7 linked regions of the Canis lupus familiaris genome follow. The protein of the gene in region 2 binds, or shares a complex with, the protein of the main gene of each other region. Links are inferred from orthologs where the notes say so. Each region holds a gene or a part of one and is shown on either strand. Other genes may lie near its edges.

Region 1 (3,174 bases), on a different chromosome or scaffold from region 2:
AGGAGGCCAACCTCCACAAAAAGCACCTGAACATTTAAGAGAGAAAGGCCAATCAGGACAGGCTAACTGCAAAATGATGCAAACCAAAGATAATGGGGCAAGAGTGGCCACTCTTACAGCTCCAACTTCTGATGTGAGAGGCAGTGCTGGGGGAATGTAATAAACTGTACTCAGGGTTCTGAATCAGTGTCCTACTGCCCCTCAGGTCCTTGTTAGTGGAGAGAGGGAAGGTGAGAATGTCTATTCCAAAATTCTATGAAGCATCCTAAAAAAAACTAGCCACAGTAAAGATCTGAGATAGAAGAAGTTAAAAATAAACAAAGCAAAACGAAAACTAAACTTTTGAATTATGTAGAAAATCTGCGGGGGATCCTGATTATAGACAAAAAGGCTTCTTTGGGGATGTTGCACAACTGTACAGCGAGAGATTATTACCATTGTTTCCACGGATAAATGCATCACCATACTTATTCTTCAGCTGTCCATTTACATATTCTTCCGTCTGCTCCAAGGCTATATTCATGTAGCCATCCAGGCAAGCCAGGACCCCTGGAGGCAGATTTAGTCAAAGAGAAGATATACAAGGCAAATAAGAGTTGAAAATTACAGGGTACACCTTAGAGCTGACAATCTCATTATTTGTTAGCTCTCACATCCTTAATATAAAAATTCACGCTGTAAGTGAAACTCAATAGTTTCATTCTATGCCAATGTGAATGAAGGCTAAGAAGCATACAGTGTGAAAGCAGACATGGATGCATTGCTAACAGGGAAAACATCAAACTATCACTTGCTTCATGGGACGTGTGATCACAGCAAGTTCTAAAGCCTTCACAAAAATAACGTAACGAGCACACTCCAAATAAAATACCATTCTTTGAAAGCTAAAATCAGGAGTGGGCAATTATGCACGAACAAATGACCACTGGCCAAGGCTCCTCACTTCCAGGGGGCATGTCTTACTTTAGCCACTAAGTAAAATATGAGTCTGGCAGATTTACTGCATTCTTTTGCAACATCTACTGCAGCAGATGAATGTACTCCAGGGTTAAGAGGAAGTCTCCACAATCTGTTAAAATAATAGAAGAGGAGATAGCAGGTGCTCCTGAAGGAACAACTTAAAGCTGTGACTCACAGTGAAGAGCAGCTTGAGAAGACAGGGCACCATATTGCATTATAACACATCCCTTTCTGTTTTGTTACACTTAGAATATTTTCAAATCCAGACTAATATAGAAAAATGGCCAAAAACATTCTAAAGAGCTTTTAAGGGAAACTGTTTGAGTCAATCTTTTTAATTGTGTTGAGATGGTATAAATTGTGCACAATGTGCCCTGATAATTTTTTTCAAAAGATGAAAATATAGAAGCCTCCGAGTCTCTAACTTCAAGCGGTAATATCTAGAAAAAAAAAATTAAGAATACTACAAGTTTGATACAATTAGCCAAATCGATAGCTTCATTTAGTCTCACTAAATGCTCCTCACTCCCTGCCTCTGCCCTCATTTGCCTCTAAACAAAAATGTTTCTTTTCCAAATTGTGTAATGAGAACACACGACATTAATCTGAAGGAATTCTGCTAGAAGCTGTACACTTTCAAATAATCAGAATAGATTTGAACAATTACTAACAATTATTTTCCATCAAAAGAAAGCCTAAGATATAACTTTCCTGTTTATTTCCTACTGTATTATTTTATATCTAAGCCACAATCCTAAGTGAGCAAGAAACTTCCAAAGCATGATATGCAAATGTTTGAAAGTTAACCCAAAGCATTTCAAAATGAAATATTCACTAGTAAAAAGTTATGTATTCTCCTTGCAAAGGTTGATTTAAGAAAAAGGCCAGGAGGTTGTCATTGTCTCTAAAGGGATAAAGTACCAGGAAGAACAGGAAAAAAAAAAGTTTTCTTCAAAATTTAAGAGAAATTGCTACAAAGAGCTGGGTTTTTAAAATTTAATCATGACAGTGACTAGCCATGTGAAAGGCCTCCAACCTCTCTAGTAAACAAAAAAAAAAAAACAAATAAAATGAAACTAGCACTTGTTGCCAATTAGAATGGAAAAGCTGAAAAGAAGGGGTTGGTGAGAACCCACAGAAGAATAAGCCCATCTGCCTTGAGGGGAGGGCCACTTGGCACACTCATTAACACAGAAATCCTAGCCTAGGGAATTTATTTTAAAGAAATACTTGGATACATGTCAAAGGAGAAAAGCTGTTTACTTAAAATAGTAAAAAAAACACTGGTAAACACCTACACATCCATCAATAGGAAATTGGTTAAAAACAAAAACAGAACTGTGGTACATCCCCATAAGGTACTCCTATACAGCATTAAACATTCTATATTGTCAGAGAACTGAATATATTTTTTTAATGTAAAAAGAAAAAAAATCAGAATGTATGCAGAGCTGATCCCATTTATATGAAATTATGCTTATATGGATTCAGGTCCAAACTGGTTAGCCTGATTCTCTCTGGATGGTAGAATTTGGGGAGACTGCTTTCTTCTGTATATTTTTCTTCATTATTTGCTTTGAAATTCTTTAGAAAAGAGAGATGAAATGAAAAAAAAAAAAAAAAGAAAAATTCATATACTACCTTTACAAATAAAAATATTATCCCTAACGAGTATAGAGAAAAAAGTCAGGCTAGGCCGGCTGAACTCCTCAGTGAAGTGGGTTCTGAGAAGATACTGAACACAATGTCCCCACCCTAACCAACTGTTGAATATGCTCAAATCTCTTAAAGTCTATTCTCTCCTCTGTGCTCATCAAACGTTCATGGGTATGAAGCAGTACATAGAGACTTTATACCTCAGTATTCAGTATAAATCCATTAGTTTCCACTATAAAAATAAAATTAAACTGGGTTATTGATGTCAAGAAACTAAAGCAGTACATAAACAGCAGAGTGGCTTCTTAACAAGGCTTTTAAGTCAGGCTTGAGTTGGGAGTCCTAGCTCCTCCCTTGCTAGGTAGGGACAAGCAGACATCTCAAAGGATTTATGTGAAGATAAATTGGAAACTGAAATGATTAGCACACACTGGACACATAGGAGGTTCTCAGAAAAATTAAGCTTGCAAGAGTGGAAAGAGGAAAAAGCTCAAAATTAGCATCCTCATTCAGAAAAGAGACAAGAAAAGGCTTTACTCTGCTAATGAATGAGTAATC
Region 2 (4,816 bases):
ATACAGATTTTGAAGCCTTAAAAAATCTGAATGGGGAAATCCCATCTCAGCAGTGTTATGGGAGCATGAAGTCATGCAGTCAAATGAGTTTTTACCCCTTCCAGTTACAGGCTAGAAAATATGACATTTCATGCAATTTTTAAAGATTTGTTCAATGGCACCTGGATGACTCAGTGATTCAAGCGTCTGCCTTTGGCTCAGGTCATGATCCCAGGATCCTGGGATTGAGTCTCACAAAGGGCTCCCTGCTCAGTAGGGAGTCTGCTTCTCCCTCTACCCCTCTCCCTGCTCATGTTCTCTCAAATAAATAAACAAAAATCTTTAAAAAAAATTTGAGAGAGCACTTGCAAAAGTGGGGTAGGGGCAAAGAGAGAGACTATCAAGCAGACTCCTTGATGAGCGTGGAGACCCACAGGGGGCTCCATCTCACCACCCATGAGATCATGATCTGAGCTGACACCAAGAGTTGGACACCTAACCAACCGAGCCATTCAAGCACCCCTGAAATTTCATGCAATTTTAATGTATGAGAGAATTCAAAGGTAAGTTAAGACACAGGCCTGGGGCACCTGGGTGGCGCCTCCTTTGAGCACCTGAGTTTTGGCTTAGGTCATGATCTTGGGTTGTGAGATGGAGCCTCAAGTAGGGCTCCATGCTCAGTGCAGAGTCTGCTTGTCCCTCTCCCTCTGTTCCTCCCCTCACATGCTCTCTAATAAATGAAACCTTAAAAAAAAAACACCCCAAAATACGTTGTAGTATATATAAAATAATTTAATAGGATATATATAAAAGACAGCAAATAGAACACATATGAACTTATTTAGCCCTAAGTGAGATCTTGTTATTATCACTATTTTACAGATGAGGAACCAAGGGTCAGAAAGATTTTCTAAAGTCACATAGTAAGAAAGTTTGAGCAAATGCAAATGGTTCATTTTGGCTGTAGAATGGGATACTCCACACTAGTGTGTGTCATATTTGGCACCTTGCATTTCAGATGGAAGAGCCTGAACGCCGTGCCAACAAGTCTACACTTTACTGTTCAGATAGTCATAAATTATTAAAGCAGAGTCCAGTCATTGGCAATACCACCATGGCAGTGATTTTTAGGAAGTGGGATGGAGAATTTGGTTAGGTCTCAGTATCTCCACCCCGGCCTAGTAACATCTGGGGCCAGGTAACTCTGTTGAGTGATGTCCAGCGCGTTGTACAATGTTCAGCAGCATCTCTAGCTTCTACTCACTAGCGGCCTGCCAGTAGAAACAGGCTCCCTACCCCACAGTTAAGAACCACTGAATTAAGCTAAACCAGGAGGAGGGCATAAAAGAGTAGAAAATATCTGTGAAGAAATAAAAGAGAAAAAAAATTGAAGGTCATTTTGGAGGATGGTCTCAAAGTACATGAGATCGAGAGATGAGAGAAATTATTAAAACCAGTTTCATCCTGTGAAATTCTCAAATATCTGTTAAGAAACAAAAGCACCTGTTAAGAAATGAAAAAGGTAATCTAAGATTACAAGTAGAGGATGGTTCTTTTGCTAAAAATAATTAGCATCTCACCAGTTCGTGAAGAACCCAGAGAATACTTCTAAGGTTTTGCCAAGTCGTCAAGGAAAGAGAGTTTTAGACAGAACTCCAAAATAAGTTGTATTTTTCTTAACGTCGGGCTCACGATGAACACTTCAACAGACCCAGCTAAAATACACGGAGTTCTTGCACAAAAAATGGCTTTGATACAAATATGCATTTCAATGTAAAACTATTTTTTTTCTTTAAAAGATTTACTTGAGAGCGAGAACCAGAGAGAGAGAGAGAGTGCGCGTGCGAGCGAGCAGGCGAGCAGTGGGGAGGGGGCAGAGAAGGAGGAGACACACCAAGCCGACTCCACGCTGAGCCCAGAGCCCACCGGGGCTGATCTCACCAGCAGATCAGGATCTGGGCTGAAACCAAGAGTGGGACCCTTAACCGACTGACCACCAAGGCGCCCCTAAATGCACAATTTCCTGGGCAGCCCGGGGGTGGGGGGGGGTGGGGCTCAGCGGTTGTGCGGCTGCCTTTGGCTCAGGTCGTGACCCCAAGGTTCTGGGATCGAGTCCTGCGTCGGGCTCCCTGCATGGAGCCCGCTTCTCCCTCTGCCTGTGTCTCAAATAAATAATAAAAAAAATCTTAAAAAAAAAAAAAAAAAGCACAATTACTAAATACGGCTTTTTCTTGCAGTCTGACTCCTCCACGAGGCTGGCAGGACGTGACCCACGCACAGGGCGGACGGCTGTTTCACAAAGCGACCCCCGGGTCCCGTTCTCCTGTTCTGCGCTACCACGTGCAGAAATCCTGGGACTGCGCGGCGGACACGAGACGGAGGCACTCGGGAGGCCCTGCACACGCTCGGCCCAGCGTCCCCGAGCCCGGGCCCACGCAAGTAGGAACATCCGGTTTTGAGGGGATTTTTACTGGATGCAGGAAAAAAGAAAAAAACTTACTTTTCTTGGATTAAAAAAAAAGAAAAAAATGAACGTTCCCCCACAGCGCTGTTAACAGATCACGTGACATCCAAGTCTTAACTTCTGCACAAGATCAAAAAAAAATTTATTTTTTTTAAATTTTCATCTATTCATGAGAGACCCAGAGAGAGAGAGAGAGACAGAGAGACACAGAGAGAGAGAGAGAGGCGCAGAGACCCGGGCGGAGGGAGGAGCAGGCTCCACGCAGGGAGCCCGACGCGGGCCTCGAACCCGTGACCCCGGGTCACGCCCTGGGCCGCGGGCGGCGCTAACCCCGCTGGGCCCCCGGGCGCCCCGGAGGGAGATTCCGAGAACAGAGCTCAAGGAAACCGCCGCCCCGCCCCGTCCTCGCGCCCCGCGGAGCCGCTCTGCCGCCCCCCGAGCGGGGCCCCGGCGCACGGACGCCGCCACCCGCACGCGGCCCTCCCGCGTACTCACTTTTTCAGCTCGGGAGGGTGAGCCTTGCTCATGGCGCCGACTCGGCGAGCTCGCAGAGGCCTCCACACGGCTCCCTCACGCTCCCGCCGCTTGGCGCCTGACGTCACCGGCCCCCGCCGCCAATCAAACGCCGGCAGAGGTCACATTCCCTCCCGCGATACTTTGAGGGCGCCCCCGGACTTGCCGAACGCCCGCGAGTTTCCGGTTGCGTTGCCAGCGATTGGCCTGCATGGGGCTACATGGGGTGGGACTTCCGGTCGCCTCCTCAATTCCGTTTCCTGATTGGTGAAACTGACGTAAGGGCTGGGTCTCTAAGTCGTCGGCGCAGCTGGCGGATCCCTCGCTTTGCGACCTGCGCGGGTTAGCGTCCTCGCACGTGCCCAGTGCGCACGCGCTCGGGAGGGCTGGGCTCTGGTCCTGCCAAGGTCGATCAGCCTGCGGTGCCCCCGCATCGGGCGCTCTGCTCCTCCCTTCTGCCTGTGTCTCTCGTTAATAAATAAAATCTTAAAAAAAAAAAAAAAAAAAAAAAAGACTTAGGCCTCGGTGATTCTGAGTAGAGGATGATTCTCCAAAATTCAGTTCCTCCCTAATGTCCAGGAATGGCTCTATTTAAATACGAATAAAAGACTGAGCCTCATTCTAGCACTCAAAATCCTACAGGTGGCATTTGCCCAACTTCCCACCTCTCGCTGCTTACAAGCAGCTACGGTCCCGAAATGGATGGTTTAGCCTTCCCACGGTTATTTTTACATTAATGGACTCCGAGTCCCAGGGCCTTAGCTTGTCCTGTTTTCCCCCATTTACAATGAACCAGTCCCGCGTCTGAATCACAGCGAGTTTTTACTCTTCACGACGTCTTCAGACACTTATTTTACACATTACAAAGAGAAGCATCCTAAGAAAGTTGTAGATTCACTGCTCGCATACGAGAGACGCCGTAGTGGAGGAAAAAACTAAACCTTATTTATTTTTTAAAACTGAACCACTAGGAAAATAGATCACAGACTTGAGACACCCAACGCAGGCTATATCATCATTTCAAGTACTAAGTTGGTAAAAAGACAGTAAGGTCTTTATCAAAATGAAAAGGTGCTAGAGCTGGGGCAGGAACACGGCTTGCTGCAAAGGTCCTGGGGCAAGGGTGGCATTTGGTAATGGGGTGGGGGGTTGCCCCTCTTCTGCTTTAAAGGGATCACAGCCCACCCTTGAGTTGCCTACTTTTTCTCCTTTGACCTTCCTGTCACCAAGTGATTGTCTGAATAGGACTCTGTTATTTTGGGGGCAAAATAAGCAATACTGAGTTTAGGTTTTCATCCCATTCTGTTCCATAAAAGCCAGGTTTTTCCAAAGCCAGTACCTAATAACTCTCTTAATTAAGAAGACAAGAGCTCCTCCTTCAGTGTTCATTCCTGGATGCTGGTAAATGGTGCAATCAAAAACCCCTTTCCCTTCAAAAAGGAGAGTGTCACTGTGAGATTGTCCTGTCGCTCTGCTGCAGATAGCCTCGGGGCCCGTCATGGCAGCTGGCGAGAGGAAAGATCTGCTTCCCATACCCAATGGAGCATCACCTGTCATGTTTTTGCAGGGTCTCTCTCCTAGCTGAAAGATGGGATGTGTATTTCAAGAAATGCACACCCACATCTTGATGGCCAGAAACAGATAACCACAAGAACTGTTCAAAGTTCTACCTCTCCCAACTCCGTATCTTAAATCCATTTCATGCCCTTCTATATAAAAAACCAAGCAAAACAAAGACCCAGAAACCTTTTTTTTCCCTTCTAGATTAGTGACCTCGTGGATTTTGTTTGACAGCTTATGGAAAACGATTTGGTGATCCTTCTGGTAAACAGGAGGTTGGCAACAAACAGAAATACCTCT
Region 3 (4,754 bases), on a different chromosome or scaffold from region 2:
TGCAACTCCGGGGTGAAAAGACTTACCCTAAGGCCAGCTTCCTCCGCAGGTTCGGCATCCATGATGCACCTGAAACATCAACACAAGCAGTCAGTTCCGATTTCCACCTCCATTCCCTCCTACGGCGCCTAAACCGCTCAGAAATCCCTACCCAAGCGCTCCAGCGTTGCCGCCGCCATCTTCCTCCCTCCCTCTACGGAAGCCTCCGAGTTCACGCACTGCCGGGACCACGCGCATGCGCAGTTCTCAGGTTGTCTGCCCCCGCGCGAGACCCGGCAGTACTCCCGCCCCGGGTGCCGTCCTGGGGACCGCGAACGCGCCGCCCGCGCCTGAGGTGTGAGCCGGACACCTTTGCCTGGGAGTGAGTGACTTTAACACAGGCCGAAGACTGAGAGTGTACGGACATTCATGGAGATCCAGAAAAATTGAGAAACCTCCCCTCACACGTGGCCAGAAAGAGTAGGACAAGAGACGGTGAACAAGCCACCTAACGTGGGTGGACCTGTTTCCTCAGCAAAACAGAAAAGCGGCACAGGCTTGTTGTGAAGATCACTAGAGATCGTGTGGAAAGCTCTTTCAAAGAACAAACAGCTCAAATATAGAGTATGATGTCCTAATCCCTATGCTAATCTCCAGGTTGATCTACAAGAGATAAATCAATACTCATATGCCGGGCAGGCGTTTCACTAAATCTGTGAATTCCTCACAGCAATCCGACCAGGCATGGGTTATCACCTTCCTGCAAGTGAGAAAGCAGATTGGGACAGGTTAAGGTATCTCCAACAACAACCGGCAAAACCACTGATTCAGCCTCGGCCTGGATGCCTCCCAAACTGGTGCCCCTACCCACATTCAAAAACATGCGTGGCCTCTCCCCGTTAGGAGAGATCTCCGGCGTCGTTCGTCCCCGTTCAGGGCTGCCACATACCCCAGGAGAGCCGGGGCGCGGAGCCCGCAGCTCCACACACATCGCCCTTCACGGAGCCGGCACCCCATCAAGTCACGCGATTCTGCTCCTCTTTGAGTCCGAAGACTCTAGGGCCAGAATTTCCTCGCGGTTGCAGAAACTAACTCTTCCGGTCTTTTTTGATTTGATTCGAACGTTTATCTTTTGGTTAACTGGCTTGTTGCAGGTCTCTGCAGAATCTCCGGAGCTAGCGAAGTACCCTGGCACAGAGCGTTCACAACTACTTGACGGAATAGTGGCTGAACTATTCAAAAATTAAAAACTTAAAACGGCTGGTCGAGGTGACTCCACTAGTCAGTCTAACGCTTTAATTAGTACTTTGCTGTGGGAGGTGAGAAAGCCTGACCCCCAGGCTGGGCTCGGCAGCACCGGGACTCCTGGCCCCGGGCGGCGGCGGCGGCAGGCAGAGCCCCGCGCGCGCGGCCGCCCCTCCCAGCCCGGCGGCGGCGGCGGCGGCGGCGGCGGCGGGAGCGGCGCTCGCGGTGCGGCCTGGGCCTCGGCGCGCGCCGTAGCGGCGGGCCCGGCGAGGCGGGGCTCCGAGCCAGCCCCGCCCCCTTCCCGGCTGCGGCGTGGGGCTGCGAACGGTCTGCTCCTGGGGTTCCTTCGTTCGTCCCTGCTGGGCCGTGATCATGGGACAGGAGCCGCGCACGCTGCCGCCCTCTCCTAACTGGTACTGCGCCCGCTGCAGCGATGCGGTGCCCGGGGGCCTCTTCGGCTTCGCAGCGCGGACCTCCGTCTTCCTTGTGCGCGTGGGCCCAAGCGCTGGCGCGATCCCTGGGACGCCCCCATTTCGAGGTAACTCCCCGCTTTGAGCCCCCGCCCTCCTGCCCTTGTTGGGTTCGTCGTAGGCGCCGAGGGAGAGTTTCTAGGCACCCTTCCCTGCAGGTGGGGAAACTGAGGCCCAGGTTGGCAGAAGGATACCGGGCTGAGTTGCGTCCGCGTCTCCAGGATTGAGTTACCATACCACGCTGTGGCTGCGCGGCCCCGCCTCCTGGCGCTCTCGCGTAGAACCGCTCGCTCCCTCGAGTTACCCCTTTATGGAGCCAGGCGTTGATAACCTCTGTGGCCTCCCTCCCCGACGCAGCGCACACTGTCCCCTGGGAGCCTCCCTGCGTTCCGGGGCTGTCTACAGCTCCAGGCCCTGAACAACGTCCTGGAAATAGATGATACCTGTTTCTTGAAGATGAATGAGTTGAGCCAGATGCTTTCAGGCTCCAAGCTAGGTTTAGATTTTGCCTTGGGACATGGCAAGCCAGTTATTTATTCTTTCCCAAATGACCTCTGGGCCACGTTTAAATAAGAATCACTTTTACATTCTTCATTTGAGCCGCTCCTCAGCCTGTGAACTGTGAACAACAAGGGATATCAGCAGCATTTTACGGCTGAAAAGAGTGAGGCTCAAGGAGATAAAATGACTGGGCTGAAGTCCCGTGGCAGAGCCAGAACCAGCACTTGGGATTTCTGATTGTGAGTGCCTGGATATTTTTGTTATGCCATGGGATAAGTGAAGTCCCACTCGTCTAACATCAGTATGATCCTCCCAGGAATCTTAGGTAGCACTCTAACCTGAAGTCCGGTTTTGCTTGAAGTCGTAGGGGAGTTGGTGGGACACACCGAAAGGGTCTCTGGCTTCACATTTTCTCATCATCCGGGTCAATACAACCTCTGCGCCACCAGCTCTGATGATGGAACTGTGAAAATCTGGGATGCGGAAACAAAAACAGTTGTGACAGAACATGCACTCCATCAGGTACTGTGGCTTACCGGTTTCTCAGACCATTATTATATATTTGCTGAGGGTTCTTTTGTTTCAAGTACGCTAACTCATCTGTGCAAGTTAACTTTTATAATAATGTCCATTATTTGGATGAGAAGCTCTATATTCTATATATAAATTGTAAGATGCCTCAAAACTTTTTTGGAAGGAGATACATATAAACCAGAGGTCAGCAAACTACTGTGCTGCCTGTTTTTGCAAATTGGTTTTATTGGAACACACCCTCAGTCATTCATTTAAGTATTGGCTGCTTGCATACTACAACAGCAGAGTAGTTGTACCAGAGACAGTATGGCACACAAAGTCTAAAATGTCTACAATCTGGTTTTTTAACATGGAAAAGACTCCTGACATAAACTGTAAATGAATGAAATTTGTTTCTAAACCAGATGATTACTTACTAAGCCTACCTTTTGAGAGAATGTAGAAAAGAAAAAGACTCAATCTTAGTAAGAACTTTCAATTAAGCTAAAGGAAGAAATGTTTTTAAATAGTTCTTTAATCCTTAGGAGCTTAAATTCTTCTACCATTTGGTTAATGTAGTCTTGGTATACAAGTGGTACTAACGGTATTTATTAAGTACATATCAATGTGCCTAGTATTATACAAGTTAAAAATGAAGTAAAAATTCAGCACTGACAAATGAAAAGCAATGTATTTTTGTTTTGTTTTAAAGCATACAATATCAGCACTGCATTGGTCTCCTCAAGTAAAGGATTTAATAGTATCTGGAGATGAAAAAGGAGTAGTTTTCTGTTACTGGCTTAACCGAAATGACAGCCAGCACCTCTTTATAGAACCCAGGACAATTTTCTGTCTTACTTGCTCACCTCATCATGAAGATTTAGTAGCCATTGGGTAAGTACTGTGTCATCTGTACTGGTAATTTGTTTTTGTTAATGAGCATATTTTGCATTTGCTTTATCTTCTCTTCCTTATTCCTCAGAGGAAGCCATGTATAGGTATTAACCATTCCCTGAGCCCATGGTATCATTTATTCCTGTGACTTCCAGGTCCTTACTGTCCTTCTCACTCTCTCTGTTTTTATTTCTTTAATTTCTACAATAGTGTACTTTCCTCATTCTTCACATCTGATTTCTTCAGCTAGCCTCCAAATGTAGGAAATACCCTCTTTCTCCCCTTTCCTCTCTCAATATTTGCTCTTGGAGATAACATTTACTCTCAGAATGTCAGAGGACTTAACTCTGTCCCTGTTCGCAGCTCTCCCTCTGGATTGGGACAGTAGTCTGGCATTGGGCGCTGCCTCCGCCTCGATCACCAGGATTATTTCACATAAACTGCCTGAATGGGCACCACCCTTTTCCTCACCGCTCCATCTACTACTCTCCCAAAGATGTCTTATCACTCTAGTTTGGATATTTGACATAAGCACTAGAATGCCAGAGGAGAAGTCTAGTTGGAGTGAATTCAAGAGACTGGGGTACAGTAGTCAAGATACACATGGAGACTTTTGTTTTTTGTACAAATGTGCATAGACATGAAGCCAGAGGAGGTACATGGTAGTAAAGGGAATATTAAATGGAAGATAATAGGGCATATTTTTATGCTGATGGAAGAGGAAAAGCTGGTTGCATGGAGAAATGGTAATAAATACAGGAGTGATATGAGAAGTCAAGAGGGATTGTATCCAGATCACAAGTAGAAAGGACAAGTGAGAATATGGAAATGGAAATAGTTGCAGGTGGGTTTGTAGATCTGGCTGGAAGAGGAAGGTGTTTGTTGTCGGGGTTTTTTTTTTAAGATGTTTTTGGGTTTTTTTAAAGATTATATTTATTATTCGTGGGAGACACAGAAAGAGAGGCAGAGAGAGGAGAAGCAGGCTCCATGCAAGGAGCCTGATGTGGGATTCCATCTTGGGAATCTGGGATCAGGCCCTGAGCCACCCAGTTGTCCCGAGGAAGGTATTTCATTCTGATGTCTTCTGATTTTCTCTGTGAATCATAAGTCAGAAAGGTAGAGTCAAATTCAAAGTGGGGCTGGGAGCACGCA
Region 4 (4,112 bases), on a different chromosome or scaffold from region 2:
AAACTTCACAAGGTAAAAACAAGTGTTATTCTTATTTATGCAACTTTTTTTTTAATTAAAGATTTTATTTATTTATTCATGAGAGAGACACACAGAGAGAGGCAGAGACACAGGCAGAGGGAGAAGCAGGCTCCATGCCGGGAGCCCGATGTGGGACTCGCTCCCTGGACTCTGGAAGCACACCCTGGGCCGAAGGCAGGTGCTCAACCGCTGAGCCACCAGGTGTCCCTTATTTATGCAACTTGCCAGAGGTTAAGACTAAACCAGACAATACTGTACTTTCCACTTCAGCTAGTATTTTACAGGTTGCCAGGTTCATTTTTTATAGAAATATATTATTTCTAATATATTAGAAATAGAAAAAGGGCACTACACGTAAAGAAAAATTAAGATTACTCATCACTTCCCCTTCTCACATATAATCACTATGAACATTTGGTACTTCTTTTGTAATATTTTTTCCTTCATAAACGTGGAATAATACTAACACACATGATCTAATTTTGAAAGTTTTATTGATTTTGTGATCTTCAGTATCCAGTATGTCAAATGCTATAGAAACAACAAAAAATACTAAGCTATTTTCCACTATATAATAGATTCATGGGTAACTCTTTTGTTATTCTAGATTTTCAATATAGCCCAATTTTAACCACTAAGATGAGAGAATTTAAAAGTATCAGACATGGTGTCAATTAGTGGGTGGGTGGAATATGAAGCATGGACTGTGGTGTAACCACCACCACTTAATTTCATACTTCCCTGAAGTCCAGCTGAACTACAGAAAATAATGCTGCCCTGGGTCGCAAATAAGTAATAACTTGTCTTTGCTTCCCAGTGACCACATACAATTATAAACCCCAAAATAGGGCAAACACATACCCTTGCCGGAGATGGGCTTGGTGTTGGGCTTTTAGCCTTTTTGACCGGTACCGCTGGTGACCAGTTGGTAGAGGGGGACTGAGACTGGACAGGGGATTGAGGTGCTGGGGGTTTTTTAGCTGCTGGCTCAGGAGATCCTGAGACAGATCGAGAGGACGAAACCCTCCTTACAGACTGAGGGCTTGGTGAGGCAGCCCTAGAAACAGAGGGAAAGAACAAAACATTTAGTATCCAAGAGCAAAGGTCTTTCCTAAGAGAAAATAACCAACCACCATTATATAACCAAGTCACAAACTTTACATTTTACTATTAGTTTGCTAGTTGATTCTACTAACACACATATCAAATTTGTATGGTCTAAATCTCTTAGCAGTTTAAGCCCCATAATCCTCTGTCCATTCTGTTAACAATTTTTCCTAGATGAAATTAATAATGCCAGTTCCTTGTACTTCAGACAACTTTTACCAGTCTTACACAGACATCCAAGAAATGTTCTATGCATTATTTCAGAGTTTAGTTTTGGAAGCACATTCCCCTGATACCCCTAGGAACCAAATATGGAGTCCTATGGCATTTAGTTTGTCCCATGAGGAACTATCCTGAAAAGAGAAAATGGATCTGTGTATAGTACCTTTAAGCTGCCTTAAAAGCCTGTATTCCCAGCTTATTCTTTTCTGTAATTTCTCAGTAAAGGGGGGAAAAAAGCTTCCAAACATAAAGAGCTATGCAAGTTAGTGTTCCTAACCAAAAAAAGCATAAAATATTTTTACTTTTTTGTCTTTTTGGGTTCCGGAGTCCTGGAGACTCTCCTAATGGGCCTAGTACTTGGAGAAGGGGACTGCCTTCTTTGGGGTGATGATGATGCTCCTCTTCGAACAGGTGGAGGACTTGAGGAGGTCTGAGGAGCTCGAGGCCGTGGTGAGGGCGAATGCCTTTTGTTTGGTTGTGGTGACCGGGGCTCCCGGGTAGACCGGCTCGGGGAAGACCCTTTCCTATGCTTTGATGATAATGAAGGCGAACGTCTCTTGGTGACTGGGGAGCTTCTTTGTTTGGGAGGTGGAGAATGGGAGACCCGACGCTTTGGTGGTGGAGATGGTGATGCCCTTCGTTTAGGAGGGGGAGGGGGAGAAGCCGTTCTTCTCTTTGGAGGTGGAGAAGGAGAGTATCTCCTCTGTATCGGAGGAGAGTATCTTCTTGGGGACGGTGAGCGCCGGCGGGGGGGAGGAGAAGGAGTTCTAGGAAAAAAACACCATTAAGGTCCAAAAGAATAAGGCAACAGAATGCACAGAAACCTAACCAGCAGTTATGGCAACACTGTGTTAAGCACCAGGCAAAGACAGAATTTTAACTGGAAATGCTATGCCTTTATCCTCATGTAAAGGAAAAGAAATCATTTAGTGGATTTGTTTATCCTAGATGACTAAGAAACAGGACATTCTGCATAATGGAGAAATCTGAAGTTTCCAGACTGAATTCTAGTTTGTCAAAAGTCACTTAATATAATCCATATGGAACCAATTTAATGAGTTTTTTTGAGAAGAGAATCTTGCATAAACTGTGAACACCCATTATTATGTAAGAGCTAGGTGGCTACATTAGCAGGACTCTATTACAGGAAACTTAGGAAGTCTGTCCTTTAAAGAGCTCTCCTGGGGGCACCTGGGTGCTTAGTTGGTTAATAAGCATTCTGCCTTTAGCTCAGGTCATGATCTTGGGGTCTTGGATTGAGCCCAATGTGGGGCTCCCTGCTCAGTGGGGGGGGAGTCTGCTTCTCTTTCCCCTGCTGCCTCTCTCCTCTACCCCCACTCGTGCTCTCTCAAGTAAGAAAAATCTTTTTTAAAAAAAGAGCTCTCCGATGTGGTGCTCTCTTGAACTGGCATTTGGACTATAAGTTCACTTGCATACATTTTAAAAGATCTATCTATACCTACCCCACCCTGCCAAGGAGAGACTTGGATTTTGTGTCTCAAAGAAAGCCACTTTTCAGTGGAAGTCTATCTTCTAGGCAGAATGCATCCCGACAGAAGTCCAAGCTGACCTTCGATTTACTTAATGCTTGATTCTTGTGTAATCCTAATGTGCCTTTAGAAATTAGACCTGAATATGACATTCAGTTCCAACTGCCTAATTTGTTCCTGAAATGTTCAACCTTGAGCTCAAAATATTTTACTGCCTAGAATCAGCTTTACAACAGGCTACTTTTTGGTCAATGAGGTAGTGTGCACCTCTATTTCCTCACCTGAAAAATGGGAATACCATCACCTACTAAGCAAGATCATCTAAAGGACTACAGATTAACAAAAATGATCAAAACTATGAAATTAGCCACAGCACTAATTTAGTATTAACTAAAATACAAGCCTGGTTTTGCACTAATGTTTCTCTTCTGATCCACATTCCAAAAATCAGAATTATATTTAGTTATCATGTGTCCTTGGTTCCTGCCAATACGAGACTATTCCTTTGTCTTTCAGGATTATCATTTTTAAAGAGTACTAGTCAGTTACCTTGTAGAATAACCTTCAATTTGGGTTTGTCTGGTATTTCCTAAAAAATCAGACTGGGGTTCTATATAATTGGTAAGAATACTATGGAGGTATCAAGAATTACATAATGCTAATATGTACTCTCGACTGTTAAATGATTCCTTAGTTAAGGAGGTATCTGCTGGAATTCTCCACTGTAAAGTTAGTATTTTTCCCTTTATAATCACTAAATAGAATGACTTCACCTTTAAATTTAACATCTTTGTTGACATGTGATTCACATACCATAAAATTTACCCATTTTAAAGTGTACATTTCAACTGTTTTAAGTATTTTCAGTCACGTAACTGTAACAACTCTCCCTATTCCCACCTGACCCTAGGCACTACTAATCTGCTTTTAACTCTTTGATTTAGGTGGTCTAACTTTACATATTAACAGAATCACATCATATGTGGTATTCTGTAAATGGCTGAACAATGCCACTCTAAGATATTCTAATCATAAAGAAAGTTGCTTCAATTAGTTCCAACTAGCACTTATCTGATAAAATACCTTCGTCGTGGTGGTGGCGTGGGAGACCTGCGCCTACGAGGAGGGGGGGCAGGAGAAGGGGAACGTCGCCTTCTGGTGGGTGGTGGGGAAGGACTCCTCCTCCGTCTACCACTAAATCACACAAACACACACACACAAAAAAAAAATACAGGTGATTTGGAGTTAGTAGCATTTATAAGTGATCCAGAT
Region 5 (4,603 bases), on a different chromosome or scaffold from region 2:
TTTCTTTAAAGTCTTACACATGAAGAGAAAAATTTTAGATATAAAGAATTATTAGCAGAATTGTTGGTATTTTCTCTTCTTGCTAATAGCTAACTGACACTTTAATATACTTTATACCTTTTTAAATAAAAACCTGAAAAAAAAATATATACTTTATACTTTTTCCTAGCATGGAAATGTTCTTGACTATTTCTACTAGTCCTCTCAGTAATGTCTCAGAATTTCATACATCACTCTTTGAACATCACTAATAAGTAGATAAAACAGGCTTAGTGGTTTAAAATTATCCTACAGGTGCCTGAGCGGCTCAGGTGGTTAAGCAGCAGACTCTTGAATTTGGCTCAGGTCATGACTTCAGGGTCATAAATACAAGCCCTGTGTGGGTTTCCACACTGAGCCTAGAGCCTGCTTAAGATTCTCTCTCTCCCTCTGCCCCTCCCCCTGCTTACACGCTCTTTGTCTCTTGAAACAAACAAATAAATAAAATCTTTTTTTTTAAAGATTTTATTTATTTATTCATGAGAGAGAGAGAGAGAGAGGGAGAGACAGAGAGGGAGGCAGAGGCACAGACAGAGGGAGAAGGAGGCTCCATGCAGGGAGCCCAATGCGGGACTCAATCCTGGGTCTCCAGGATCATGCCCTGGGCTGAAGGCAGTGCTAAACTGCTGAGCCACCCAGGCTGCCCAATAAAATCTTTAAAGAAAAAAAAAAAAAAAAAATTACCCTAGAGTGAGGATTCTAGGGTGAAGAATCCAAGTCCTCTCTCAGCTCTTTTCCAGGTCTCAATTCTTACCATAAAATGTACAGAGAGAGTACATAATGTGACCTTGGTTAAGACCAGCCCCTTCCAACTGTCAGATGTTCCACTTGTTAAACTTCCATCTTTGATTCTGCACCAAAAATTATGTCTCTGGTGGACTGAATCTCTTTATACTTTAAAAGACAATTCATGGCATATTTTGTAAAGTTCAGCAAAATGCAATTATTTGGTAACCAGGAGTTACATTACTCATGTGGCTAGAAACACTAACCTATTCTTATAGCCTCTCTAACCAATGAGGAATTCTGCAAACTTTGACCTATAAAGTAATAACAATGTTATTAATAGACTGAAAATATCACCCTGACTGACCTTCCTTTTTCTTAGTTTGTAATCATTTAATTCTTCTTCATCTGTGATCTTCTGTTGAGGTGGAGGAGGAAGAAGCTCAAGTTCTCTTTCTTTAGCTTCTCTTAAGAGTTGCTCAGCAGTTATCTGTACCTCAGCTGGGGCTTTGTTTTTCACCTTTTAAGATAGAAGATATTCTCATTTTTAGTAGATGCTCATCACACAAAGTTTAGGAAGCAAAAAGACATTTTTTTAGGATGGGAACTTTGTATTATTACAAGATGCCCTCTTCATATGACAGGTTTTCATTTCTCTATGAAATTAAACAGAAAACAAAGTTTTCTTTCTTATGCATGGTATTTATTACAAAGCCATAGGTAAGTCTTCAGAGAAAAGGTAGCAAAAATAGCAAGTGTTCTCTTTTAGATTAGAATAATAATAAACCTTGAGGCTGCTCAGGTAAATTCTCACTAGAGGTGTTTTATGAAGATGTGTGCTGTATCTTTCCTAGTGTTACACTCTCTATTTACAGAACTTTTCAATTATGCCCCATGTGGATGATAATGCCTCAAACTGTGTTTGGTTGTTTTCATGGCATTTCAAATCAAAGACAGTTCAATAAATTCCCATAATTAGACAGACCATAAGTTTCTTGAAGTCTTAGAGCTGTGCTGTCCAACATAGTAGTCATGAGCTAATGCAGTGAGCCCAAATAGAGATGGACTGTAAGGGTAAAATATACACTAGATTTTGAAGACATAGTGTGAAATAAGCCAGTAAACTGCCTGATTAGATTTCCTATGTTGATTACATGTTCAATTAGCAATATATTGGATACAATGGATTAAAGAAAATATACAGTTAAAATTAATGTCACCTGTTTTGACTATTTAATGTAGCTACAGGAAAACTTAAAATTACATAATGTGGCTCACACTGTATATCTGTTGGACCACTGGTGCCCTGTAACATTTTATGGAATTGGATTATAAGAAATATTGTTTAATGCCATGTGTGGAATGACTTTGATAATAATGACTACAGCTCATATGCAGTCACAGATGCTGTGCTATGTGACTTAAACGGATATGTAAAGGACAAGCTCAAGAGAGCCACCTGGGCTGGAGAGACAGACTGGAGTGAGGGCGTCCGTAAAGGTTCAGGGTAAAGCCCGTCACACATTAAGCACTCAGTGAGTATCAGTCACCGATGGAACTATCATATAATACCAAACTTACTGTTTAATTAAATTAATGCCACTACACAACCCATGCCCTCTCATTCTTTCCAGGCTCAGGGGGCCTAACTCCTAGTCAGCCACCAGGTGTCGGCTTAAACATCACTTCCTCAGGAAAGCGGACTCGGCATACCCCTCATACAAACCCCATCACTCCGCGGCATATCCTACGCCGCCTCACTCGTATTCGGCAAGGTGGCAATTTCACATTGGCTCGTGTCATTTGTGAAAACGGCACATTGCCCGCGTTAGGTCGTAGTTCCTTCCCCAGCGCCTAGCGCGCTGCCTAAATCCTGCCGAATGACCCCACTCCTCCCTCCGCAAAAACACGCCCTAGAAAGAAGGCCGCGCCAACGCGGCGTGGGAAGGGAGCGTCTCCGGGGCGACAAAAGCCTGCGCCCCACCGCCTGCCAACCCTTCCACTCGATCCACACGGGGTAGGATGGCTCTAGGCAGTCTTCCGCCGCGGGCCCCGAGGAGGCTGGGGCAAGCCCCTCTCCGGGGCCTCCTCCCACAAAGCCCTTCGCGGTCTCCTACCTTCGCCACTTTGGGAATCCTCTGCTTCCCGGCAGCGGTGGAGGCCGCCATGGCTGCAGCACAAGACCGCGACTCAACCTGGACCCCAGAAATAGACCCCGAGGGCTGGACAGAATCCCAGGGATTTCCGACAACAAGCGAGATCCCAAAACAGGAAGCGGAAGTTGCTGGCATGACCTTTGACTTCACGCACGCGCCGTGACGCCGGCAACTTCGTTTCTGTGGTAACCGGGCTGAGCGTCCTCCTCGGAGAGCAGTGTCTCGGAGTTGCGGGAGAGGTGGGTAGTGCTGGCTCGCCCGACAGGGGCGCGGGGACGGAGTCCGGGGCGCCAGGGGCGCATCCCCAGGTCAGTCTCCGGAACTGGGAGGACTTGCGAGGATGGGTGGGTCGGTCGAACCGTGGCTCCGGGGAAGGGCAAAAGGAACAAAGCTCCGATCCGGAGGCTTGGGGTCGGGGCAGAGAGGTAGGCCAGAAAACTTCCTTTCCCAGCATGCCAAGGGGCGAGCTGCTGCGTTCCTAGGTGGCCTGGCGCCGCGTTGCGTTCTAGGTTTTGTAGTCTTGGAGGTCTCTTTTTTTTTTTTTTTTTTTTCTGGACAGTTGTGCACAAGTGAAGTAACTGAAGGCATCTTAAAGCCAAATAATAGAAAAAAATGAAAATAAATCATCAAAGTACTAGCAAATAAACCATCCTTGTGGTCAGATAAACAGATGCTTAATTTTTTGTAAATGTGCCTTAATTACATCAATTCTCTTAGCCCCATGGTGCTTAGCTGTGAGACAAAAAGAATAGTATCTATTTTATCATCATTAAGGAGAAAATCTATGTAAAGTGCTCCGTAAATGTTAGCTGGTGTAATTCTTGACCTATCTTCAAAAGAAAAAGCTAATTTTATGCAAGCAAATAGTGAAGAGAATTTTTTTTAAAAAGACTTTTTAAAATAGCAGTTTTAAGTTCACAGAAAAGTTGAATGAAGGTACAGAGAATTTCTGTTTCTCACACCTGCCGTCCCGTTTGCCCCCACAATCGATATTCCCCGTGAGAGTGGTACATTTTTGTAATTGATGAACCTACACTGACAGCTCATTATTCACAAGTTAACATTAGGGTTCACATTCTATGGAATTTAGTGACCTGTATCTACCATCATAGAATGGTAAAGAATAGTTTTTCCATCCTAAAAATCCTTTGTGCTCCATCTATTTATTCCTCCTTCTCCTTTTGCCTCCTATAACCACTGATTTTAAAAAATTTTTAGGGCTGCTTTTTTTCAGAATGTTGTGTCATTTGCATCGGTATGTAGCTTTTTTAGAGTGGTTTCTTTCACTTGTTATATGCATTTGGGCTTCCTCCCTGTCTTCGTGGTGTGATAGCTCACTGGTTAAGAAATTTTTACAATTGCAAGGCTCTTTTGGTATTCAGAAAAAATATTCATAAGTATAAATATATGTGTGTATTTTATGTATTTAAATCTATCTCCGTAAATAGTGCTATTGAGAAAACGTTAACTGAAGTCATTTGTAACCAGTATAAAAATATTTGCCATAGCTCTGTTCTACCTATGTACTTATTTAAATATTTGTAAGTTATCTCACTTTTCAAATTTTAAATAAGTTGAATGAGATTTTATATGACTGAAATAAAGTCGCCTAACAAAATAAACCAATAACTATTAAAATAAAAAAAAAATGTTTCCCTTTTGTGATGTCCCTTAAACTTGTA
Region 6 (4,112 bases), on a different chromosome or scaffold from region 2:
TTTTCCTCCCAAACTGCTTCCCCTGCAATCTTCCCACTATTAGTAAATAGCAACTTAATGCCTCCTAATTGCTCATGTCAAAAGTCCTGGAGTTAAAAAAGAAAGTTCTGGAGTCATCCTTGACTCTTTTTTTTCATACCTCTACCTAATCCATAAGCAAATTTTGTCAGCTCTCCCTGCAAAATACATCTGTATTTGGCAGTGTTTTCCCTGCCTCTCTTATTATCATCTCTCATCTGGATTACTGCACTAGCCCTCCAAATGACTTCCCTACTCCCCCACATGCCCACTTCACAGCCTGCTCATGTATGGTAGATCATGTTGTTCTGCTTAACTCTTCAACTTCTTCCCTTGTTATTTGAAATAAAAGCCACCTCCTTAAATGGCTAAAAGACCACACATGATCTGGCTACTACCTTTCCTATTTACTCTATTTTGATACCTTGTCTCCTACTACTTAGCTTTCTTGCTCCAATCTGGCTGTACTGGCCTCCCTGCTTTTCCTTTAACATACCAAGAGTACTCCCAACTCAGGGCCCTTGCACTTGCTGTTCCTTCTATCTGGGATGCTCTTCAAAACCCTAGATATCTATAAGGCTCAATTCCTTACTTCAATTTTTGTGCTAATGTTACCATCTCAGAAGTAAGGTTCATCTTGACCCTCTCCTGGCACTTTTGTCCCTTTTTCTTGTTTTATTTGTCTCCATAGCAATTATTACTATACTATTATTATTAATCATCTAGTAATGATAATTAACTTTTTTGGTCTCTCTACACTCACTAGAATGTTTATTGCCATACCTCCAACAACAGAAATCCTTATGTCTAGAAGAGAACCTTGGGCAGTTCCGGTGGCTCAGCGGTTTAGCGCCACCTTTGGCCCAGGGCCTGATCCTGGAGACCTGGGATCGAGTCCCATGTCGGGGACCCTGCATGGAGCCTGCTTCTCCTTCTGCCTGTGTCTCTGCCTCCCTCCCTCCCTCCCTCCCTCTCTCTCTCTCTCTCTCCCCCTCTATGGAGCCTACTTCTTCCTCTGCCTGTGTCTCTGCCTCTCTCTCTGTCTCTCATGAATAAATAAATAAATAAATAAAATCTTAAAAAAAAAAAAAAAGAGAACCTTATATATAGTAGGTGCTCAATATGAGTTGAATGAATAATTGTACTAGTCTAGGATTTATTAATGAAAAAAAAAAAACAACCCTCACAGTTTTCTTGAATTAGAATTACTCTTTTAAATGAATTACTAAAGTAGTGTAGACCACTAAATAAAGCCAGAGGAAAAATACTAGCAGATTTAATGATTATAGGTGTATTAGCCTATAAAATAGAAAAACTGGATTATTTTACTATGTGGGGGAGCTGAATTATTCAGTTGGGGATCTCAATTTTCTATTTTTTTTAAAAGATTTTATTTATTTTACTCATGAGAGAGACACACACAGAAAGAGAGAGAGAGAGAAAGAGAGAGAGAGAGAGAGAGAGAGGTAGAGACACAGGCAGAGGGAGAAGCAGGCTTCATGCCCGAGGGAGCCCAATGCGGGATTCAATCCAGGGTCTCCAGGACCAGGCTCTGGGCTGAAGGTGGCGCTAAACCACTGAGCCACCTGGGCTGCCCCTCAATTTTCTAAGTTTTAAGAAAATTAAAATGAGAGACAAATCAAGCCCATCATTTGAATGTGATTTTTAAATCTATTATTACTCTGAACCTTAAAAACGTCTAGTGTAGTCCCATACTTCCTTAAACATATAGTCTTTATTTTCTACTACTACAGCTCATTAATAGAAGTTATTCTTTCATTTTTATGTTATTTGTAAAACATTGGCATTTTCTTTTTCTTTTTAAAAGATTATATTTATTTATTCATGAGAGACACAAGAGAGGCAGAGGCCCAGACAGAGGGGGAAGCAGACTCCATGCATGGAGCCCCATGTGGGACTTGATTCCGGGACTCCAGGATCATGCCCTGAGCTGAAGGCAGACACCTAACCGCTGAGCCACCAGGCATCCCAAAGACTTTTTAAAAAAATATTTTATTTATTTATTCATGAGAGACACAGAGACAGAGGCAGAGATATAGGTAGAGGGAGAAGCAGGCTCCCTGCAGGGAGCCTGATGCAGGACTCGATTCCAGGATCTTAGAAACCTCTACGTTTTCTTTATAGGTGTGTATTAATTTTATGTGCAGTAAAAACAACAGCGATTCTCTAAAATGAGGTATGTATTGTTTACAATGTAAATTCAACTTAGTAAAGAGAATGTCATACCTTTTTCCACATGAGTTTTAATCCCAGCTCTTCTCTCTCTAGCTTTCTGGGCCATTTCTCTAAGTTTCTCTTCATGTTTCTCCTTTTCTTTTTGTGCCATCTTTCTCTCTACTTGAGCACGCATTTCTACAGCTTCACGAGCCTGTTAGTAAGATTGAATGTTAAATAAGACACGACTAGGGGTAAGTTACAGCTATCATCCAACACTGTAACTAAAGTCTGGCTTGAAAGAGAAGTTATAAAGAATTTAGATTTGTTATTGCTGATTAAAACAAAGATTCTTGTCCACTAAAGAAACCTTGCCTGGAATACAATGCAAACTTAGATTTTCACTCTGGAAAATATTTTAGTGGCTGAAAGTATAGGACCCCAATCAATCTTATAAATCACTGTTTCACTAGTGCTTTCTCAGAAACAACCCAAAATATAAAAAGATTCCAGTAAAGAAATTTTCAATATCAGTAACATAGCATGTGTTCAAAATCAAGCAAGTCTATTCAAGATAAAGCCTTAGCAAGAAATGATTTTTATAAGGGTTCTTGCTATGATACAGGAGATATACTTCTCTATGCTTTAGATGCATGCCATAATGTATGTGAACTTCTAAGTCAGACATTAATAGTATTAATGCCATAATATTAAAAGACAACCAATATTATAACTATCATTTTCTATAGCATTCAAATATCAAAATGTTTATTTGCCCTTCTATGCTACCAACCTTTTGGGAGGCATCTATATTTAAAATAAATAAATCATGAAATCTAAAAACAGCAGTCGGCAATCTCCTTCAAAATGAGATCGGCCTAGCAAACCATCGTTCTAGAATGTGGAAGCTGGACTGCCAGTGGTAGGGTATGTGTGTAAGTCTACAAAGGCTAGACCAGGTATAGAACTGTAAATAGCACCTGCCACCTCTGGCACACATGCTGCAGGTGAGAGCCTCTCTGGGTACTGAGTACTGTAGCATAAATGGCAGTATCTTAGGTAAATCAAACCATCATGCTATATGGCTTAAAATTTACAGTGATATGTCAATTAAACTGGAATGAACAAACAATATCTTAGGTAACCAAAAATGGATTTACAAATTATCAAGAGCATTAAACCATTTAATTATAACAGACCAACCTTCCGATCAGCAATATAGAGGGCTTCGGCCAGCTTAGCAAAATTCTCATTGATGTGAACTGTCTGCAGGCCTCTTCCATCAGCAGCCAGACGTTTGTCTAATGGAATTGTATACCCCTGTGTGACAGCAGGCAGAAAATACCAGTCATAAAAGAGCAGCAATATATTCTTTAAAAACAGATTTAAATGTCCATTTTGACCACCACTGAACTGAAGTTTTTTTTCTTATATCTTTTTTCACAGTTATATAACAGCAGCAGCAGCTAACATGGAGGGCTTCCTATGGAGGCCAATTTAAAAGCACTTCACACTGTAGTCCCATTTCACCTTCATTGTGACTCTGGAAGGCTGATTAACACTGTGTTTCCGTTTCACAGATGCTGCTACTGAGGTAGGGAGCTTAGATAATGTCCCCAAGGGCACACAGTTAATAACAGATGAGCTAAAATTTAAACTTGGGTAGTGTGACGTTAGAGCCCAAGCTCTGAGCAAAATATTTTCGTGTTAATAATGAGTTATAATAAAAGGAAATCACTAGCAAATAGCTAGATAGCTGTTTTTCAAGTAATTTAACAGTCATATAAAAGTGAAACAAGACACTAAGAGTACATAGAGGTAGTTTAATGTGCACTGTTTCAACTGAAATTTTGAATCCTATTTTCAATAACTCAAGGAATATGCTTGAACATCCAGGACATTTCAGGCTTAGCTTTATT
Region 7 (4,622 bases), on a different chromosome or scaffold from region 2:
CCTGGCTGCCTCAGCTGGTAGAGCATGGGACTCTAGATCTCAGGGTCCTGACTTCAAGCCCCATGTTGGACATGGAGCCTGCTTAAAATTAAAAATAAATACGTAAATAAAATCACAATGAGATATCACTACACATCTACTGGAATAGCTAAAACAAAAAATAATGTCAACACCAAATGCCGGTGAGGATGCAGAGAAAGTGGTTCACCCACAACACAGGTAGGGATGGAAAACGGTACAGCCACTGTCATGGACTGAATCACGCCCCTTCCCCCCATTCATATGTCGAGGTTCCAACTCCCATCCTCAGAATGTAACCATTTGGGGGGGGGGGTGCGTTTGGTTTTTAAAGTAGGTGCCATGCCCAATGTGGGGCTTGAACTCACAACCCTGATTAAGGATTAAGAGCCAACTGCTCTACCAACGGAGACAGCCAGGCATCCGTTTTTGGTTTCTTTTTTTTTTTTCTTTTTTTGAGATAAGGTCTTTAAAGACATGATTAAGTTGACAGCAAAGCCCTAATCCAATATGACTGGTGTCCTTATCTGAAGAGGAAGAGACACCAGGGATGCAAGCCCACAGAGGAGAGGCCATGTGAGGACCCAGCCAAGAAGGTAGCCATTCGAAAACCAAGGAAAGAGGCGTCAGGAGAAACAAAACCTCCTAACACCTTGACCTTGGACTTTAGCCTCCAGAATTGTGAGAAAATTAATTTTTGTTGTTTAAGGTATCCAGTCTGTGGTATTTGGTTATGGAAGCCCTAGAAAACCAACACAGCCCTCCTGGAACACAGTCTGGCATGCAATCACCATGCCATTTAACAATGGCACACCTGGGCACTTATCCCAGAAAACTGAAGACGTGTTCACACAAAAACCTGTATACAAATGTTACACAGCAACCTTATATACACAATAACCAAAAACTGGTAACAACTCACTTGTCCTTTAATGGGTAAAGGGTTAAAACCACACCACTGAGTATCACTCAGCAATAAAAAAGGAATCAAATACTGACAAAGACAAGCTGAATGAATCTCCAAAGAAATGTGCTGAGTGAAAAAAGCCAATCCCTAAAGGTTAGACGGATGATTCCATTTACATGATTCCATTTACATAATGTTCTTGAAGTGACAACCGTTATAGAGACAGAGAGCAGATTAGAAGTTGCCAGGACTTGAGGGGTTAAGGATGAGAGACAGGCGGGTGAGACTATCCAAGGACAACCCAATGGGTCCTTGTGGGGATGGAAATGTTCGCATCTTAACTGTCACGATGTCAATACCCTCCCGGTGATACTGCACTGGAATTCTGTAAGATGCTACCAGTGGGAAAAACACAGTGAAGAACGTACCTCTGTATTTTTTATTTTTTAAAACAGCTGAGTGTGTAAATCAACAATTCTCAAAATTTTTTTAAAAAGGTGTCACAAAACAAGTAGAAAAACAACAACAACCCAGTTTCTAGAAACACCCGCTACGGATAAAGGTAAACACCTAGGATCATGTATTTGTCAGGACGGTAAGAGATTCTAGATTTGGACCTGGTATCAAAACATCTCGGTCCGCTTACCTGCTTCACTTTGACTGTCGAGTGGTGAGGGCTTCGGCTTCTCTTACTCCGAGGAGACTTGCTTCTTCTCCCTGAGGACTTGTTTTTCCTCTTGGCTGGGGACCTTTTTGGAGCAGGGTACACACAGGATTTTATCTCAATTTCCCTTCCCCCATATACACTCACAGTCAAGTGTCAGGCTTACTTACTAACAATACAAACAGCACATCCAGTGAAGGGCTCTGCTTTTCACACCAAGGAAGGCGGGGAGCTCCGCTCTCCAGCCCGGGACACCCTCCTTGAGCTTCAGACCCCCCCCCCCCCCCACACACACACACACAGAGCTGCCTCTGGAGCATTCTGAGAGCCTGACTCTTGCTTCCCAACCCCTCAAAGCCCTTTCCTCCCTCAGCCTCTGCCATCTCAGTAACGGGTATCACCATCCACCCTGCTTCTCAAGCCCAAAAAACCCAGAGAACCCCCCGTGACTCCCCTTTCCTTTCCCCAGCAATAGCTCCCGACACTCTCCGGCAACAACCACGTCAATCCGACAGCGAGTCAGTCCTCCGGCTCTAGATCGCCTCTCTCCCCTCCGTTGATCCCTAAACGACCCCTCTCCACCCCCACCCCGCACTCCCACTTCTAGAACAATCACATTAACCGGGCTTCAGCTTCTTTGCGCACATGGGTTTCCCCAGCCTGGACAATCCTTATCGTTCGGGTCTCAACGCAAACCGCACGTTTTCAGAGGGGCCTTCCTTCTCTCGCTTCCTTCCAAGGCTCGCTCTCACACCTCCGGTTGGAGCCGCTTCTTAATACTTGTTACATACGGAAACTATTTTATCGGCCTTGTTACTCTGTCTCGAGGCGGGAGCACACCCATTCCATTTCGCCGGGGCAAAGGCCGCACGAGGCCCCAGGAGCGACGGCTGTCTTTCTTCCTTTAGCAACGCGCTCACAACTTAAGTCGAAGGAATACACGGAGCAGTCCAGCAAGAGATGGTTTTTCTTCCAACTGCCTACCAGGTGGATCGCCTGGGCTGCCAAGGCGGAGGGCTTCTGGGGCAGACGTCTGGAAGGCCTAGTAGGCCGGCAGCCCATGTGCGGGCAGATGCGGAGGAGCCTTTATTTCGGGTCCATATGCGCGGTGTCCGGGCAGATGCGGGGCGCAGGGATGAGGGGGGCGGGATCCTGCGCATCAGGCAGGGGCCGCCGTAAACGCTCTCCCGCACAGCGCCACCGGCTCACCCCCCCCCCACCCCCTTTGACATGAAACCCGAGCAGCCGCGCTCGGCTCCCAAAACGGGGCTCTGACGCCAGCCCCGCCCCTCCTCCAAGTCCCCATCCCGGGCGCCTCCCCCACTTACCGGCTGCCTCCTCGGGCTCGGCTCCCGCGGTGCCCAGGGCGGCCCGGGTCGCCGGCCGGCGGGGACGCGCTCCCGCCCGAGGACTCGGGGCGGCGGTGGGCGGGCGGCGCGGCTTCCGGGCTCAGGCGCTCCTGCTTCACCTTCACCACCATCGCCGCCGCCACCACGTCCCCGTCGCGGTGCCTCCGCCGGGTGCCCCGCTCCCGCTCGCTCTTTACCTCCTTCATGCTGAGATACGAGCAGAGAGCGAAGCGGGGGAGGGAAACAAAACAAAACAAACAAAAAAAAAAAAAGAGAGAGAGAGAGATCCGTTGCGCTCCTCTCGCTAAAGGAAACGACGGGCTTGACCCCCCGCACTTCCGCTTCCGGGTGCGCGCTCTCCCAGAAACCCTTGCGGCGGCGAGCGAAGCACGTGACCACGACCCTGCAAGCGGGAGGGGCTGTCGGGAGCCGCTCGGGTGGCGGGAGTTTTAAACGTCAAAGAGACGCTTCTGGGCAGCCCGGGTGGCTCAGCGGTTGTTTAGCGCCGCCTGCAGCCCGGGGCTGGATCCTGGAGATTCGGGATCGAGTCCCACGTCGGGCTCCCTGCGTGGAGCCTGCTTCTCCCTCTGCCTGTGTCTCTCATAAATAAACAAAATATTTAAAAAAAAAGAGGAAACAGAGAAGGAAATGCAATCACTGACAGCCCCCCGGGGGGGTGGGGGCAAGTCATTACTATCTTCCCTGCTAGTCCTGAGCTTCGTGTTATGTTGTCACTTCTCCATTTAATTTAAAAAATGAATTCTTAATTTATTTACTTTTTTACTTTTTTTTATTTATTTTTTTTTACTTTTTATTTTCAAGTCCTTTCTAGAGCCAGCGGTGGGGCTGGAACTCCCCACCCCCATATCGACGTCTCACCCTCTACTGACTGAACCAGCCAGGTGCCCCTCGCCCCAACACAAATACTTTTTAAAACTGGGGAGCAAAAAAATTATTTTTAATTTTTAAAAAGAAAACCAGGGAGCTCCGGGAATCCCCGGGTGGCTCAGCGGTTAGCGCCTGCCTTTGACCCAGGGCGTGACCCTGGAGACCCCGGATCAAGTCCCACGTCGGGCTCCCTGCGTGGAGCCTGCTTCTCCCTCTGCCTGTGTCCCTGCCTCTCTCTCTCTCTCTCATGAATAAATAAAATTAAAAAAAAAAAAGAAACCGGGGAGCTGCAGGTGCCTCCCTCTGGGAATCTGCAGATTCCCAAGCCTCCACCGAGGAGTCACAGGGCTCCCATTCTGCAGGTGACAAAGTTGGCGGCCAGCGAAGGTGACCGTGCGCCTCGTTGCAATGGCCTGCGAGCCGCAGCGTGGGGACTCCGTTCCCGTTTGGCGTGGTTTTCCAGGAGCATCAAGGCGACCCGCGGGGCAGGAACCGCGATCAACCGAGCGGGAGGAGAATTCCTGGCGAGGCTGAGCGGGAACTCTGCGCTGCTGGCCCCGCCCCATCCGAAGCCCCGCCCAGGCCACGAGGCGCGGCGGGGGGGCCGGGGGGTTTCCATGGTGACGGCAAACAAGGAGCACGCTGGAGGGGCGGCCGCCGGACTCGAACCCGCGTCGCCGCCATGATCCCCCCTGCGGACTCTCTGCTCAAGTACGACACCCCGGTGCTGGTGAGCCGGAACACGGAGAAGCGGAGCCCCAAGGTCAGGGCGGGCCTGGGGGGCGGGGGAGCCCGG

What was found.
Region 1: SNRPG (region 2) and LSM6 share a complex: the UniProt entries of both Homo sapiens proteins name them as parts of the U4/U6-U5 tri-snRNP complex. The link is inferred for Canis lupus familiaris from reciprocal best matches to the Homo sapiens genes SNRPG and LSM6.
Region 3: SNRPG (region 2) and GEMIN5 share a complex: the UniProt entries of both Homo sapiens proteins name them as parts of the SMN-Sm complex. The link is inferred for Canis lupus familiaris from reciprocal best matches to the Homo sapiens genes SNRPG and GEMIN5.
Region 4: SNRPG (region 2) and SRRM1 share a complex: the UniProt entries of both Homo sapiens proteins name them as parts of the minor spliceosome. The link is inferred for Canis lupus familiaris from reciprocal best matches to the Homo sapiens genes SNRPG and SRRM1.
Region 5: SNRPG (region 2) and CRNKL1 share a complex: the UniProt entries of both Homo sapiens proteins name them as parts of the minor spliceosome. The link is inferred for Canis lupus familiaris from reciprocal best matches to the Homo sapiens genes SNRPG and CRNKL1.
Region 6: SNRPG (region 2) and SNW1 share a complex: the UniProt entries of both Homo sapiens proteins name them as parts of the minor spliceosome. The link is inferred for Canis lupus familiaris from reciprocal best matches to the Homo sapiens genes SNRPG and SNW1.
Region 7: SNRPG (region 2) and SNIP1 share a complex: the UniProt entries of both Homo sapiens proteins name them as parts of the minor spliceosome. The link is inferred for Canis lupus familiaris from reciprocal best matches to the Homo sapiens genes SNRPG and SNIP1.

The regions. Positions count from the first base shown.
Region 1 is NC_049236.1:44,960,646-44,963,819, reverse strand, and holds part of LSM6 (U6 snRNA-associated Sm-like protein LSm6), read right to left. Parts: intron 550-3,174; coding exon 436-549; intron 1-435. UniProt on the Homo sapiens protein: Plays a role in pre-mRNA splicing as component of the U4/U6-U5 tri-snRNP complex that is involved in spliceosome assembly, and as component of the precatalytic spliceosome (spliceosome B complex).
Region 2 is NC_049231.1:70,134,823-70,139,638, forward strand, and holds the start of SNRPG (small nuclear ribonucleoprotein G), read right to left. Parts: upstream 3,023-4,816; 5' UTR 2,971-3,022; coding exon 2,939-2,970; intron 1-2,938. UniProt on the Homo sapiens protein: Plays a role in pre-mRNA splicing as a core component of the spliceosomal U1, U2, U4 and U5 small nuclear ribonucleoproteins (snRNPs), the building blocks of the spliceosome.
Region 3 is NC_049225.1:55,759,552-55,764,305, forward strand, and holds the start of GEMIN5 (gem-associated protein 5), read left to right. Parts: upstream 1-1,506; 5' UTR 1,507-1,596; coding exon 1,597-1,762; intron 1,763-2,556; coding exon 2,557-2,717; intron 2,718-3,420; coding exon 3,421-3,602; intron 3,603-4,754. Other genes in the region: MRPL22 (39S ribosomal protein L22, mitochondrial), read right to left, coding at 27-69, 152-179. UniProt on the Homo sapiens protein: The SMN complex catalyzes the assembly of small nuclear ribonucleoproteins (snRNPs), the building blocks of the spliceosome, and thereby plays an important role in the splicing of cellular pre-mRNAs.
Region 4 is NC_049223.1:74,417,451-74,421,562, forward strand, and holds part of SRRM1 (serine/arginine repetitive matrix protein 1), read right to left. Parts: intron 4,035-4,112; coding exon 3,924-4,034; intron 2,133-3,923; coding exon 1,653-2,132; intron 1,079-1,652; coding exon 883-1,078; intron 1-882. UniProt on the Homo sapiens protein: Part of pre- and post-splicing multiprotein mRNP complexes. As a component of the minor spliceosome, involved in the splicing of U12-type introns in pre-mRNAs. Involved in numerous pre-mRNA processing events.
Region 5 is NC_049245.1:3,678,251-3,682,853, reverse strand, and holds the start of CRNKL1 (crooked neck-like protein 1), read right to left. Parts: upstream 3,061-4,603; 5' UTR 3,057-3,060; coding exon 2,883-3,056; intron 1,286-2,882; coding exon 1,133-1,285; intron 1-1,132. UniProt on the Homo sapiens protein: Involved in pre-mRNA splicing process. As a component of the minor spliceosome, involved in the splicing of U12-type introns in pre-mRNAs.
Region 6 is NC_049229.1:50,802,781-50,806,892, forward strand, and holds part of SNW1 (SNW domain-containing protein 1), read right to left. Parts: intron 3,514-4,112; coding exon 3,397-3,513; intron 2,408-3,396; coding exon 2,266-2,407; intron 1-2,265. UniProt on the Homo sapiens protein: Involved in pre-mRNA splicing as component of the spliceosome. As a component of the minor spliceosome, involved in the splicing of U12-type introns in pre-mRNAs.
Region 7 is NC_049236.1:4,999,081-5,003,702, reverse strand, and holds the start of SNIP1 (smad nuclear-interacting protein 1), read right to left. Parts: upstream 3,280-4,622; 5' UTR 3,145-3,279; coding exon 2,918-3,144; intron 2,778-2,917; exon of another isoform or gene 2,237-2,777; coding exon of another isoform or gene 2,235-2,236; intron 1,675-2,234; coding exon 1,572-1,674; intron 1-1,571. Other genes in the region: DNALI1 (axonemal dynein light intermediate polypeptide 1), read left to right, coding at 4,509-4,589. UniProt on the Homo sapiens protein: Required for pre-mRNA splicing as component of the spliceosome. As a component of the minor spliceosome, involved in the splicing of U12-type introns in pre-mRNAs. Down-regulates NF-kappa-B signaling by competing with RELA for CREBBP/EP300 binding.